3 linked regions of the Mus musculus genome follow. The protein of the gene in region 3 interacts with the protein of the main gene of each other region in a pairwise test. Links are inferred from orthologs where the notes say so. Each region holds a gene or a part of one and is shown on either strand. Other genes may lie near its edges. The genes, in order: Ldoc1, Srsf1 and Nxf1.

What was found.
Region 1: the proteins of Nxf1 (region 3) and Ldoc1 interact in binary tests that used the Homo sapiens proteins (3 or more experiments, as listed by UniProt). The two-hybrid records come from large-scale screens. The link is inferred for Mus musculus from reciprocal best matches to the Homo sapiens genes NXF1 and LDOC1.
Region 2: the proteins of Nxf1 (region 3) and Srsf1 interact in binary tests that used the Homo sapiens proteins (3 or more experiments, as listed by UniProt). The link is inferred for Mus musculus from reciprocal best matches to the Homo sapiens genes NXF1 and SRSF1.

The regions. Positions count from the first base shown.
Region 1 is NC_000086.7:61,708,023-61,711,472, forward strand, and holds Ldoc1 (protein LDOC1), read left to right. Parts: upstream 1-1,588; 5' UTR 1,589-1,687; coding exon 1,688-2,143; 3' UTR 2,144-2,928; downstream 2,929-3,450. UniProt on the Homo sapiens protein: May have an important role in the development and/or progression of some cancers.
Region 2 is NC_000077.6:88,045,911-88,050,296, forward strand, and holds the start of Srsf1 (serine/arginine-rich splicing factor 1), read left to right. Parts: upstream 1-1,462; 5' UTR 1,463-1,928; coding exon 1,929-2,122; intron 2,123-2,579; coding exon 2,580-2,764; intron 2,765-3,132; coding exon 3,133-3,305; coding exon of another isoform or gene 3,306-3,359; exon of another isoform or gene 3,360-3,501; coding exon 3,502-3,696; 3' UTR 3,697-4,386. UniProt on the Homo sapiens protein: Plays a role in preventing exon skipping, ensuring the accuracy of splicing and regulating alternative splicing.
Region 3 is NC_000085.6:8,755,657-8,759,981, forward strand, and holds the start of Nxf1 (nuclear RNA export factor 1), read left to right. Parts: upstream 1-1,446; 5' UTR 1,447-1,575; coding exon 1,576-1,603; intron 1,604-4,325.

The sequences.
Region 1 (3,450 bases), on a different chromosome or scaffold from region 3:
CCAGAATTGATTGAATTTGGAGATATATTTTTAAAAGCAGACCCATTGTGTATCAGCTTGATGACCCAGAACGAAACTTAGTTATCAACAACTAATCACATTCAAACTAGGCAGACAGGCTTATTTAACAGTGCACATGGTAGTTTAACTACACAGGAACAAAGGTACTCATAAACAGGACATGATAAGAATCAAAGATAGGATGTTTACAAGTGGACACCCTGTATACATTTTATAAATCTTTTTTTGGGGGGAGGACATTCTTTTTTCTTTTTTATTAAATTTATTTATTTTTTTCACTTTACATCTCAATATCAACCCGCTCCTCTCCTCCCAGTGTCCCCTCTCCTAGGTCTTTCCTCCATTCCACCTTCTCTTCTCTTTTGAGAATAAAAATCCTCACAAAATAACATCCTCCTCCACACACACACACCCAACAAGTCAAACCCTCTCCAAATGAGGACAGACAAGCCAAACCATTTAGAGTAACTGGGTCCTCAAGCAGGCAGGCAGCAGACACAGGGACAGCCCTTGCTCCAGTTGTTGGGGAACCTCCAAGAAGACCAAGCTGCACATCTGCTACATGTGTGCAGGAAGGCCTAGGTCCAGCCTGTGCTTTCTCTTTGGTTGGTGTTTGCAAATCTTGTTAACAAAATTGCTTGTCAAAGAGAAGTCTTTTGTTGCATACTATTTATTTATTTAATGAAAGTGAGTCTACCTGTGAGTCTTTTAGACTTGGAACCCAAATGACCTCCTGCACGGTGGCCCACAGAGTCAGCGTTATTTCTCCGAGTGAGATTTAAATGAGCAAGGAAATGTGTTAACCAACCAGACACTCCTCACCCCCAGAGCTTCCAGGGACTAAACCACCGACCAAAGAGTATACATGGAGGGACCCATGGCTCCAGACGCATATGTAGCAGAGGATGGCCTTGTCAGGCATCAAAAGGAGGAGAGACCCTTGGTCCTGTGAAGGCTGGAGACCGCAGTGTAGGGAAATTCGAGGGAGGGGAGATGGGAGTGGGTGGGTGGGTGGAGGAACACCCTCATAGAAGCAGGGGGAGAGGAGGATGGGATAGGGAGTTTTGAGGGGAGGGAGGCGGGAACGGGGATACCATTTGAAATGTAAATAAAGAAATATCCAATAAAAAGTAAAAAAAGAAAAAAAAATGTGTTAAGAAAGGATCACTTTAAAGAAGCTGATGGCCACAGACCCACAAAGGAACACTGAATTAGATGAACAGGCTGCCTGCAGAAAAGTTTCAGCTGGAGCAGGCCAGCCCTGAGGGCTGAGCATCTGTTCTCCACTGTGGCAAGCTTTGCTCCCTCAGCCTTCCTACTTCCAGGTGGAAGAACTGGCGGGACCCCGCAGCGAAGCTCCTGGGTCACGCCCTGCTCCTCCTCAGCCACATCCACTCTGGCCACCAGTCCCACCCTGACCACGCCCCCACGCCATCCCGCACCCTTCCCAGCCACACCTTCCTTACCGCACTGCGCTAGCGCACAGGTTTGTAAAGTGACCCTGTGGGTGGAGTTTCTGCCGCTGGCTGGGACCCCTCCATTTATTGCCCAGGGTCCGCACTCCTCTGAGGACCCGCACTTCCTGCTCAGCCTCTCTGTGCAGCTCCGTGGAGCCGATCCGAGACTGAGACCGAGACCGAGACCGAGACCGTCCAAGCAGTTAACCATGGTGGAAGAGCTGCTGTCGCTTCTGCACGCGCTTCTGGATAGGCACCAAGCCCTGTGCATGGAGAACCACCAGCTCCTGAAGCAGCTGCGACTGTTGGTGTGTGAGCGGGCCAGGCTGCTGCGCCAGGTATGTCCACCGAGCTGTCCGGTGCCCTACCCCTCACGGTTTAGCGGCGAGAGTGGTCGGCTCCCTGAGTTTATCATGCAGACCATGTCTTACATGCTTGCGAATGAGGAGCACTTCTGCAATGATGCCATGAAAGTGGCATTCTTGATCAGCCTCCTCTCCGGGGAAGCTGAGGAGTGGGTGATGCCTTACATCGAGTCAAATAGCTACGTCCTCGGTGATTATCAGGCCTTTGTTGATGAGATGAAGCAGTATTTTGGCTGGGGTACCGACGACGAAGATGATGGTGATGATGATGAAGAGGAAGAAATGGAGGAAGATCACTAGGCCGGAGCCCCCTTAGGCCTAGAGGTGGGGGCCTTCACGCCTTTTCATTCCAACCCCCCACCCGCCATTCCTGCTGCCTCAATCTCTCCCTTTGCATGGCCATCCTCTTCCCCGCCAGTCTGTTTGCTCCATCATTCCCTTCAGGACTTGTCTTTGTTCCAGTTACCTGCTGTGAGTTGGGCCTGGACCTTGCTCTGAAACTCACTTTGGCCTCAGGCACTTATCCTAATCTGAACTCTGTTCGGAGTTCCAGCGATTTTCCAGGTCCCTATTAGAACTGGTCAGACCACCTGCATTCCTGCTGCTGACATCCACTGGAACTCAGGCCAGTCCGCCATCTGCCCAGAAGCAGATTCCTGACATTTCACCTCCACTCACCGAATTTCATCTGAAGCACTTTTCAAGATAAGGACCAAGAAGATGATGGAGTTGCTACTCCACCCATTCAGACTCTGTTTTGGACTACTCACCAAACCTTGAAGGGGCCAGCCAGTCTTTACCGACTGGTTAGTTCTGTACGTACTACCAGGTTCCACATCTGCCTGACCAGAACAGGAACCTGATGTGCCTGCCGGACAGTTAAAATGTTGACATGTCTTTTCTCCTATGCATCAGTTTTGCACAGCACGTTTCCTTTCAGAACTGCAGCAGCCTCACAGATGTGTCCATGTGGACAAGGACTACTAAAATAAAAGCAAACGGACAGGCATTCAGCCCAGATCCTCTCTAGTACTTGAAAAAAGCAATGTAATTCTTTGCAATAAATATCAAGCACTGCAAAACTAGCAGCAAACTGTTGTCTTTTCATGGTTAAGTGCTACCATTGGCTATTGTGACTCACCTCCATTATTTCATTGTGGTTGGGGAACTTGGTTCAATCCCAGTATTCTCACTTTCATTTTTGGGCTCCAGGGGGCCCTGTCATAGGGTTTTAAAAGCTGTGGTGAAGGAGCATTGTCTGGGGCTTCCAAGGTGACATATAAAGGGTGGCTGGGTAGGGGGGCTATCATCTTAAATTAGGTCACTTTGGAGAAATAAAGGGACATTATTAACATTTAGACTGACAGTAGAGGCATATTACTGGGCACAGTGAAGTTTCCTAACATGGCAGAGAAGTTTTATCCATTGTCCTTCTTTCCTGTGGGTGGCAATTAGCAAGATGCTTATGTCTCCTGAGCTAGAACCTGGACTGGAGTTTGTGAGTTGACATCTCTCAGACAGTCCAGAGGGTAGGTACTGAGAATTATCTGCCCAGCTTTGTTTGTGTGTCAGTCCATTATGTTACCCTGCTGAAATGAACTTGGTAA
Region 2 (4,386 bases), on a different chromosome or scaffold from region 3:
CCTTGATTTCTCCAGCCAGTCTTAATATTTAATGGTTTCATTTTAAGCAGCCCCACATCCTTGGACTGTTGTAAATAAATGATAACATCCAGGGGCAGCAATGACTCAGTGACTCATCTGGTTAAGGTGCTCCTCCCAAGCCTGACGTTTCATCTCGGGGGCTCACATGGCATGAGTGGTGAACTGCACCTTATTTTCTGACTTTCACACATGGGCCATGGCATGACCCACCACCCCAAGACACAATATGCATAACATAAAAATTAAAAACTAAAAATTACAGTATAAAGAATCACCCTTAGAACCTGTGGGGATCCGACTTAGCATATTTATTAGTGATAGGGTCGACACAGCTCTGGCTGGCCTTGAACCCTGAAATTCCGCTTCCCAAAAACTTCAAGAGGCATTTACCACTACGCCTGGCTGTCTCTATCCAATCATGAAAGGCTCTGGTTTTAGCTGGGAGGTAGTGACTTTGATCCCAGCACTCAGAAGGCAGGAACTCCAGGACAGCCAGGGGTACACAGAGAAATCGTGTCTCAAACAAAACAACCCCAAAACAAAAACAACACCAAGAAAACGTTTTGTTTTTCAATATTTTTAATAGAAAGGGTTTCCCTGAATGTCCCGGGCTAACCTTTCCCCCCGCCTCCCCTTTGGTTTTTCGAGACAGGGCTTCTCTGTATAGCCCTGGCTGTCCTGGAACTCACTCAGTAGACCAGGCTGGCCTCGAACTCTGAAATCCGCCTGCCTCTGCCTCCCGAGCGCTGGGATTAAAGGCATGCGCCACCACTGCCTGGCTCCGGGATAACCTTTACTAGAACTGTGTATAACAGGGTAGGCTGGACCCTCCTTGCCTCAGCTTCCGGAGTGATAGGATTTCAGGCACACAAGCTTAAGTCCAGATTGGTTTGCTTTTATTATAATTCGAGTTCATTAACAACACTACAAGGCCGTATGATTTCACACGTAAGGCTCTTCTATTCCCGTTATTACAAAACAAAGAAGCAAAATTGTGGTATCCAATGCAAGAATCCTTTTGCAGATAATCTTGGCAAAATAAACAAATAAATAAATAATCTCCCTAGACCAGCACAGAACCGGGATCTCGGCTCTGCAGTTAAACTGTTTTATCACTCTTCCTTTTTCATCCTTAGAAAGGAGGAAGAGGAAAACTCAAGGCACAGTTTTCATTTAGATAGATATGGAGGATCCGTCTAGACACTTTAACTAAGATGCAGCCCACCGCAGGTTCCCAGAGGCAGAAGCCACACTGCTCCGCTTCGGCTTTTAAATGAAATCACCTGCAACTCCCGCCGGCGGCACCGAAGTGCAGAAGATGCCCAGGTTTCCGGAGCAACAGCTCAGCGTCATCTATCTCCGCCCCGCGGCGCCTTTCCCGCCAAAGGCCGTTACCACCGCGGAGCATGGTGGGACACGCTTGCAAGATAGGTTTCACCCAATCTTTTTAGAGCGCCGAGCTGCTTTCAGAGAGGGTCTACCCCCGAGGTGGCCGACGATTCTGGACTCAGTGGGGATTAATAATAACCGCTTTAACCAGAGCATGTGATTTTTACTAAACGCCTGGACGTTCCAGCAGCCAGTCAACCCGCCAGGACGCGAGGGACTTTTTCCCCTCCGTGCGGAGGGTGACGTCGCGCGTGCGCGAGCGTGCTTCTCAGCACCCGTTAGAGGCGTGCGCCTGCGCACTGGGAGGGACGAGCCGCTTCCTCCGGCTTCTCTTCCTCCCCCTCCCCCCCGGTATCAGTGCGCCGAGCTGATAAAGGCGCCATTTTGGAGCGGCCGCGGGAGACGTGGTGCCGCTGAGGGCTCGCTCTGCCGTACGCTAGGCTTGGTAGGAAGGCCTCTTTTTTTTTTTTTCCTTCCCCCCCCCCGAGTCCGCGCTTTTCGTCGTCGCCGCCGCCGCCATGTCGGGAGGTGGTGTGATCCGTGGCCCGGCGGGGAACAACGACTGCCGCATCTACGTGGGTAACCTACCTCCGGATATCCGAACCAAGGACATCGAGGACGTGTTTTACAAATACGGCGCCATCCGCGACATCGACCTGAAGAACCGCCGCGGGGGACCGCCCTTCGCCTTCGTTGAGTTCGAGGACCCGCGGTGAGGCAGCGTGGGGCGTGCGCGGCCTTGAGGAGATAGCGTGGAGGAGTTGGGGAAGGCTCGGAGGCCTTGGAACATAATGGGGGGAGAGGAGGGGCTCCGAGGCGCTATCGCCCCTGCAGGAGTCGAGTCAGGAGAGCCGAGAGGCGGCGCGTTGTCTCCGGTGGCCGGCCGCCTCGGACGTCCCCCCTACCCCCCGAGCCCATGCGCAGCCCCCGGAGCGGGAAACCGAGGCGCTGAGGGCCGGCGAGGTGGTCGGGAGCCTCTGCCCGGCGTGGTGCTGGGTGGGGGAAGGGCCGGCCCTATTATGCGGCGCATGTGGGGCTCCGTGTGGCCCCGTGGGTGCGCATGTGCGCTGTGGCCGCGGCTTTTCACCCCCGGAGCGGGCGAACGAGCTGGGTCCGGCGGCTCCCTCCCCTCATCACCCCCCCCTTTCGCTTTCTGTGATCACACGCAGAGACGCGGAAGATGCGGTGTACGGTCGCGACGGCTACGACTACGACGGCTACCGGCTGCGGGTAGAGTTTCCCCGAAGCGGCCGCGGGACCGGCCGAGGCGGCGGCGGGGGTGGAGGCGGCGGCGCCCCGAGAGGCCGCTATGGCCCGCCGTCCAGGCGGTCCGAGAACAGAGTGGTTGTCTCTGGTGAGTTGACTTCGTGCGGGTTAAAATCTTTTTCCCGCATGACTGCTTTGAGTACTGCAAGGTTTTTGTTATTGTTGTTTTTGTTTTGTTTTACACACGGGGTCTTGGACTACTTCGGTCTTTGGGATGAATTTAGTAAATAAAGATTACTGTGGTGGTGATTTACCCAAATTAGGTTGCAGTACTAGCCTATGAAGATCCTTTACAAATAAATTTGGACTCTGGATCTGACTCTTACCAGCTCTTTACCTGGAAACACTTAAGTACAATCATTAAGTATTTTAAAATAATCCTTGTTCGAATGTACTTTACACGTTTGCCGTGGGACAGGATGAGTAGTATTAAATTAGGGGGAATCGCTTTTTCAGGACTGCCTCCGAGTGGAAGCTGGCAGGACTTAAAGGATCACATGCGTGAGGCAGGTGATGTATGTTACGCTGATGTTTACCGAGATGGCACTGGTGTCGTGGAGTTTGTACGGAAAGAAGATATGACGTATGCAGTTCGAAAACTGGATAACACTAAGTTTAGATCTCACGAGGTAGGTTATACACTTATTCTTTTTTTTGGCCAGAATTGGATACAGTTTTCTTAACAGTGGAATTTGAAGGTAAGGATACAGGCAAGGGTGTTCACGTAAATTACCAGAGCCCTGATCTGTCTTTGTATTCGTTCAGCTTGTCTGAAGACAGGTGAAAGCTTAGATCTTTCAATGGAAAGTTCTGTCTATCCAATAGGGAGAAACTGCCTACATCCGGGTTAAAGTTGATGGGCCCAGAAGTCCAAGTTATGGAAGATCTCGATCTCGAAGCCGTAGTCGTAGCAGAAGCCGTAGCAGAAGCAACAGCAGGAGTCGCAGTTACTCCCCAAGGAGAAGCAGAGGATCACCACGCTATTCTCCCCGTCATAGCAGATCTCGCTCTCGTACATAAGATGATTGGTGACACTTTTTGTAGAACCCATGTTGTATACAGTTTTCCTTTACTCAGTACAATCTTTTCATTTTTTTAATTCAAGCTGTTTTGTTCAGAATGGGCTAAAGTGTTGAATTGCATTCTTGTGTAATATCCCCTTGCTCCTAACATCTACATTCCCCTCATGTCTTTGGTAACTTGTATTTTAAGTGATGTCATAGACAGGATTGTTTAAATTTAGTTAATTTCCATGCTCTTCAGACTGTGATATTATGTAAATGTCTATTCTGCTCTGGTTTGTGTGAAATGGGATGTTGGGGGTGTTTGTGGTTATCTTACTTGGGGGAAGTTCTTATGTTTATCTTGCTTTTCATGTGTCTTTCTGTAGACATATCTGAAGAGATGGATTAAGAATGCTTTGGATTAAGGATTGTGGAGCACATTTCAATCATTTTAGGATTGTCAAAAGGAGGATTGAGGAGGATCAGATCAATAATGGAGGCAATGGTATGACTCCAAGTGCTATTGTCACAGATGAAATTGGCAGTATTGACCTTATACTAGAAGGCGAGGGTTAAAAATTTATCTACCTTAAAAGATTTGCAAACACTTAATGCAGTTATCTTCAGCTACAATTGCTTTGCTTTTTAAAACCTTGGCAATTGTGGTAGAATTGCCCATTTTGTAACAATTATTTGCTCCCTTCCC
Region 3 (4,325 bases):
ATTTCTGGGGGGGGGGGGGGGACTTCAGCAAAAAGCTAACCACTGCCCAATACCAGAACCAAAAGGGTTAAGTCAGTGACTCTGATGGGCCCCTACTGATAGGCAGGGTAGCTCCGGAGCTCTGTACACACAACTCCCCCCTAGAAGCGAGTAGCCAAGTACAGCAGCACTTCATAAGAGTTTTCCTTTGGACTAAGTGGGTTCATAATTGGGCGGCAACTTCCAAGACAGTACCCATAAGTTTGAGCCTGTTTTGTATCTTCAAATCAAGTCATGCTCCATGCCTACCAGCACCCCATCTGCTTCCCCCTCCCACAGCAGCATCTGGATCCAAGGCTGCAATAGTCCTAGCCACACCAGAAAAGTTTCCTAGAGCTCTTGGGTTTGACATTAAAGTTTCAGTCAACACTTGGGAGTTGGAAGCAGGTGAATTTCTTGAGTTTGTGGCCAACTTGGTCTACAAAGCAAGTTTCACAGAAACCCTGTTTCAAGAAACAAAACCCAAAACTAGCAACTTTCCCTAGCTACCTACCTAGCTGACCTGGGTCTACCAATTAGGCTTCAGTATGACAGACTGAGTGAAGTGAAGATCAAGGCTTAAGGCTCACTAGATCCCTGATTTTGTTTTGAGATGGTCTATGTAGTGTTCCCTATCTCTGAACTGGACAAAGTATTGATAGTAAGACTAAAGCTTTTTTATTTTATTTTATTATTTTATTTTTTTTGGAGGAAGGGTCTCTACATAGCTCTGGCTGTTCTAGAAATTTCTATAGAGCCAAGACTGGCCTCAAACTCAAAGATCTGCCTGCCTCTGCCTTCCAAATGCTGGGTTTAAAGACCTGCTCCACTACACCCGACTTGACTTTTTTTTTCATTAGTCAATTTAAAAGACCTTTTTTCATTAGTCAATTTAAAAACCTACGAAGGACAGGATTTCGTTTAATTCACACTTGGGTTTCACACTGGGCATGATACTGTGCTGGAGGAAGAAAAGTTCGCATTAGTTAAGGTTCCTGCTCCAGTGGGGCTTACATTCCAATTTTCTATTTCGTCATAATTCGTCGTGGAGATGAGAAAAGCTAAGAGGGCATAGGCCAGCGGCTGGCAAGGAACTGAGCTGCGACTTACTCGCTGCCGGGATCCCACCGGCGGGGACTGTGGGCCGTTACTCCCGTTCAGAGGCCAGGTCTCCATTCTTGTGTGTAGCCCTCGACCCTGCTCCTCTTGAGTTCAGTGCTAACGCAGAGGGTTTAGCTCCGGGACCGGGCCAGCGAAGAAATAGGAAGGCGGGGCCGGCCGATAGGCCATCCGGCCGGAGCTCCGGCCGTGGGCGGGCCTCGGAGGGCCTGGCCACGCCCCCGAGCGGCCGCCCTGCTTCTGCGCAGGCTCAGAGAGCGCGTTCACGTCCCGCGGCACCGCCCACATCCTGGGGACGTCGGCGGCGCGCGACGTGCTTCGCCGGATAAATGCGGTGGCGCCGGTCGTAGGAGAGATTCTGTCCTGAGCGCTAAGGCTCCTTGGCGTTTGGTGGCGTCAGGTTCTGCGCCTGAGCCCGCCCCTGTACCTGCCTGTGCCATGGCGGACGAAGGGAAGTCATACAACGGTCAGTGCGGGGCCTCGGGCCGGGAGGCGACGCGGTGGGTTGGGGTGGGCGGCCCTGGCCTAGGCCTCAGCCCGGGGGCGGGAGGCCGCGAGGAGCCCTACGTCCGTAGGTAGCGGTGGCCGCGCGGGCAGGGGGCGCGGGGCGCCGCGGGACCCAGGGGCTCCAGAGTCGCCCGGATTCAGGCGTTGGAGAACCTGTGGCTCAGGGGTGGGGTGACAAGATTCCTTTCAACTTTGAGGGTGGTTGATGCCTGTCAGTTCAGTTTGGCGGCCCGACTCTTCCTTTAAATGTGAGTCAGTAGTCGCTTGGTCGTGGGCTACCCTGGTGCCCTATTTTTCTTTTTCTTTTTGTGATACGATCAGTCTGTTCTTGTAGCTTGCTGCTTATTGTTTATCAAATTTCTAGTCGGAACACCTATCCTGACATGTTAATTCATTGTGGTGGTTAGGACACTATGACAGCTGAGGTTTGAATCTGGAGTTGGCTGTACTAAACCCGAGTGAGTTAAACTTTCAGGCCTTGTTTTCCGCCTCTTTCATGTGGGTACCTGTCTCCCAAGTTTGTGTGCATGTGCGTGTGCGTTTGTGTGCGTATGAAATAATTTCTACCAAGTGCCTAGAACACAGTAACTGGAGTGGGAATTTTCTTCCGTGAACCGTAGTTTCACTGTCTCTTAATGTATTCCTTTTTACTAGGGTTGCTTGGAGAGGATCGTTGTTTAGAGGATGCTAGATATTAGGTGGATTTCTTTGAAAGTTATACCTTTTTTGTATTTGTGTAATACTGATGATTTATCCAGGCCTGAAAAATAGCTACCCAATGAACCTTTATTTTAATTCAAATATAATTACTTGGTCTCCTTTCTCTAGCCATTCCCATTGTCAACTCTCTCCCCAAATTCATCCAACATGCAGAGCCCATTTAGTGTTAATGTGTATATATTTGTTTCTAAAGCTTACCATTTGGGATTGGATAACCATTTAGGGAATTCATCCCTAGGGAAGGCTAATTCTCCCTTACAGGGTCAGCCCTAGTATCCCAGGCTGGCCTCAGTCAGTCTCCCTGTGTCAGCTTCCCAAGTTCGGTATTGCATAGACTTTTACTTTTTTTTGGGGGGGTTGGGCTCCTAGAGTTAAACTCAAGGTCTGGCAAAAAGGAAAATAAATAGAACCAAGTGTAGTAGTGCACTGTTTAAGGTAAGAGGATCAGAGGTTCCAGGTCATTCCCTGTGTGCCAGGCCTTCTGTTCTCCCACAGAGCTATAGACAAGGAAGGATGAAAATCCCTTGTTTTTTCGAGACAGGGTTTCTCTGTGTAGCCCTGGCTGTCCTGGAACTCACTTTGTAGACCAGGCTGGCCTTGAACTCGGAAATCCGCCTGCCTCTGCCTCCCAAGTGCTGGGATTAAAGGCATGCGCCACCAGGCCCGGCTGTTATTTTTTTGAGATGGTTCACCAAGTTGTCCAGACTGACTTGAAGTTTCAAATTCTGCCTCAGCCTGGGTGGTGTGTGTGTGTGTGTGAAGGATAGGATAGGCAAGCACATTGTCAACTGGGCTATATCCTCAGCCCTCCTTTTATTTGTTTTGTCTACATATATGCAGACCACCCACTAAGAGAGACAGGTCTCAATCCTGGTCTGGCCTTGAACTCTGTAGTTCCAATCCTCTTCTTAAACAGTGTACTACCACACTTGGTTGGCTTGTTTGTTTATTAATTTATTTATTGAAACAGTGTGTCAATGAGTAGTTCTCTCTGTTCTAGAACTCAATGAGTAGACCATGCTGGCATTCAAAACTCAACAGTTCTCTGCCTGCCACTGTCTGGGAATAAAGATATGGGCCACTGTGTTTGGCTTCTTCCCCTTTTTAAGGCAGGGTTTTAGCTTATCTGGAACTCGGAATCCTCCTGCTTCAAACAATGGTTATATTGGAGAACATTCCCTACCTCCTTACTGTGGAACCTGCACCAGTCCCTGAATCAATAAGTCCCTCGAGGTGCAGGCTATTTTTGCTCAAAGAAACTAGCATTTCCCAAGTTCCGAGTGCAGGAGATGGTAGTTGTTTTTTGGGTTTTGTTTTGTTTTGTTTTGTTTTTCGAGACAGAGTTTCTCTGTGTAGCTCTGGCTGTCCTGGAACTCACTCTGTAGACCAGGCTGGCCTCGAACTCAGAAATCCGCCTGCCTCTGCCTCCCGAGTGCTGGGATTAAAGGAGTGCGCCACCACTGCCCGGCGGTAGTTGTTTTTAGGAGACTTTAAATACGTCCTATTTGTAAGAATTTTTTTATTTTTTGGGATAGAATCTCATGTAGCCCAGCATAGCTTTGATTTCTTGTGTAATTGAAGCCTCCATTTCCCAATTGCCAGGATTGCAGGTGGTGGCCATAACATCTGGTTCTGTGACCATCAACTGTACACATAAGCAAAAGAATATGCAAGTGGCAGATTTTAGGTGGTTTTCAGGAATCTGGTTATATTTTGGGGTTGCCCATACTTCCACATTTTAGTTTTCTTTGTAGGATCTGGTTTCTGGGTGGTTTTGGTTTTCTTTTTTCTTTAAATTCTAAGGTTTTTTTTGGGGGGGGGTAATTTTATACATGTACACAGTTGTAATTGTATTCACCTTTCATTACTCTTTTTTATTTTTACATATTTGTTTATTAATTTAATTAATTTATTTAATGTATAAGTGTTCTGCTGCATGTACACCTGCATGCCAGAAGGAG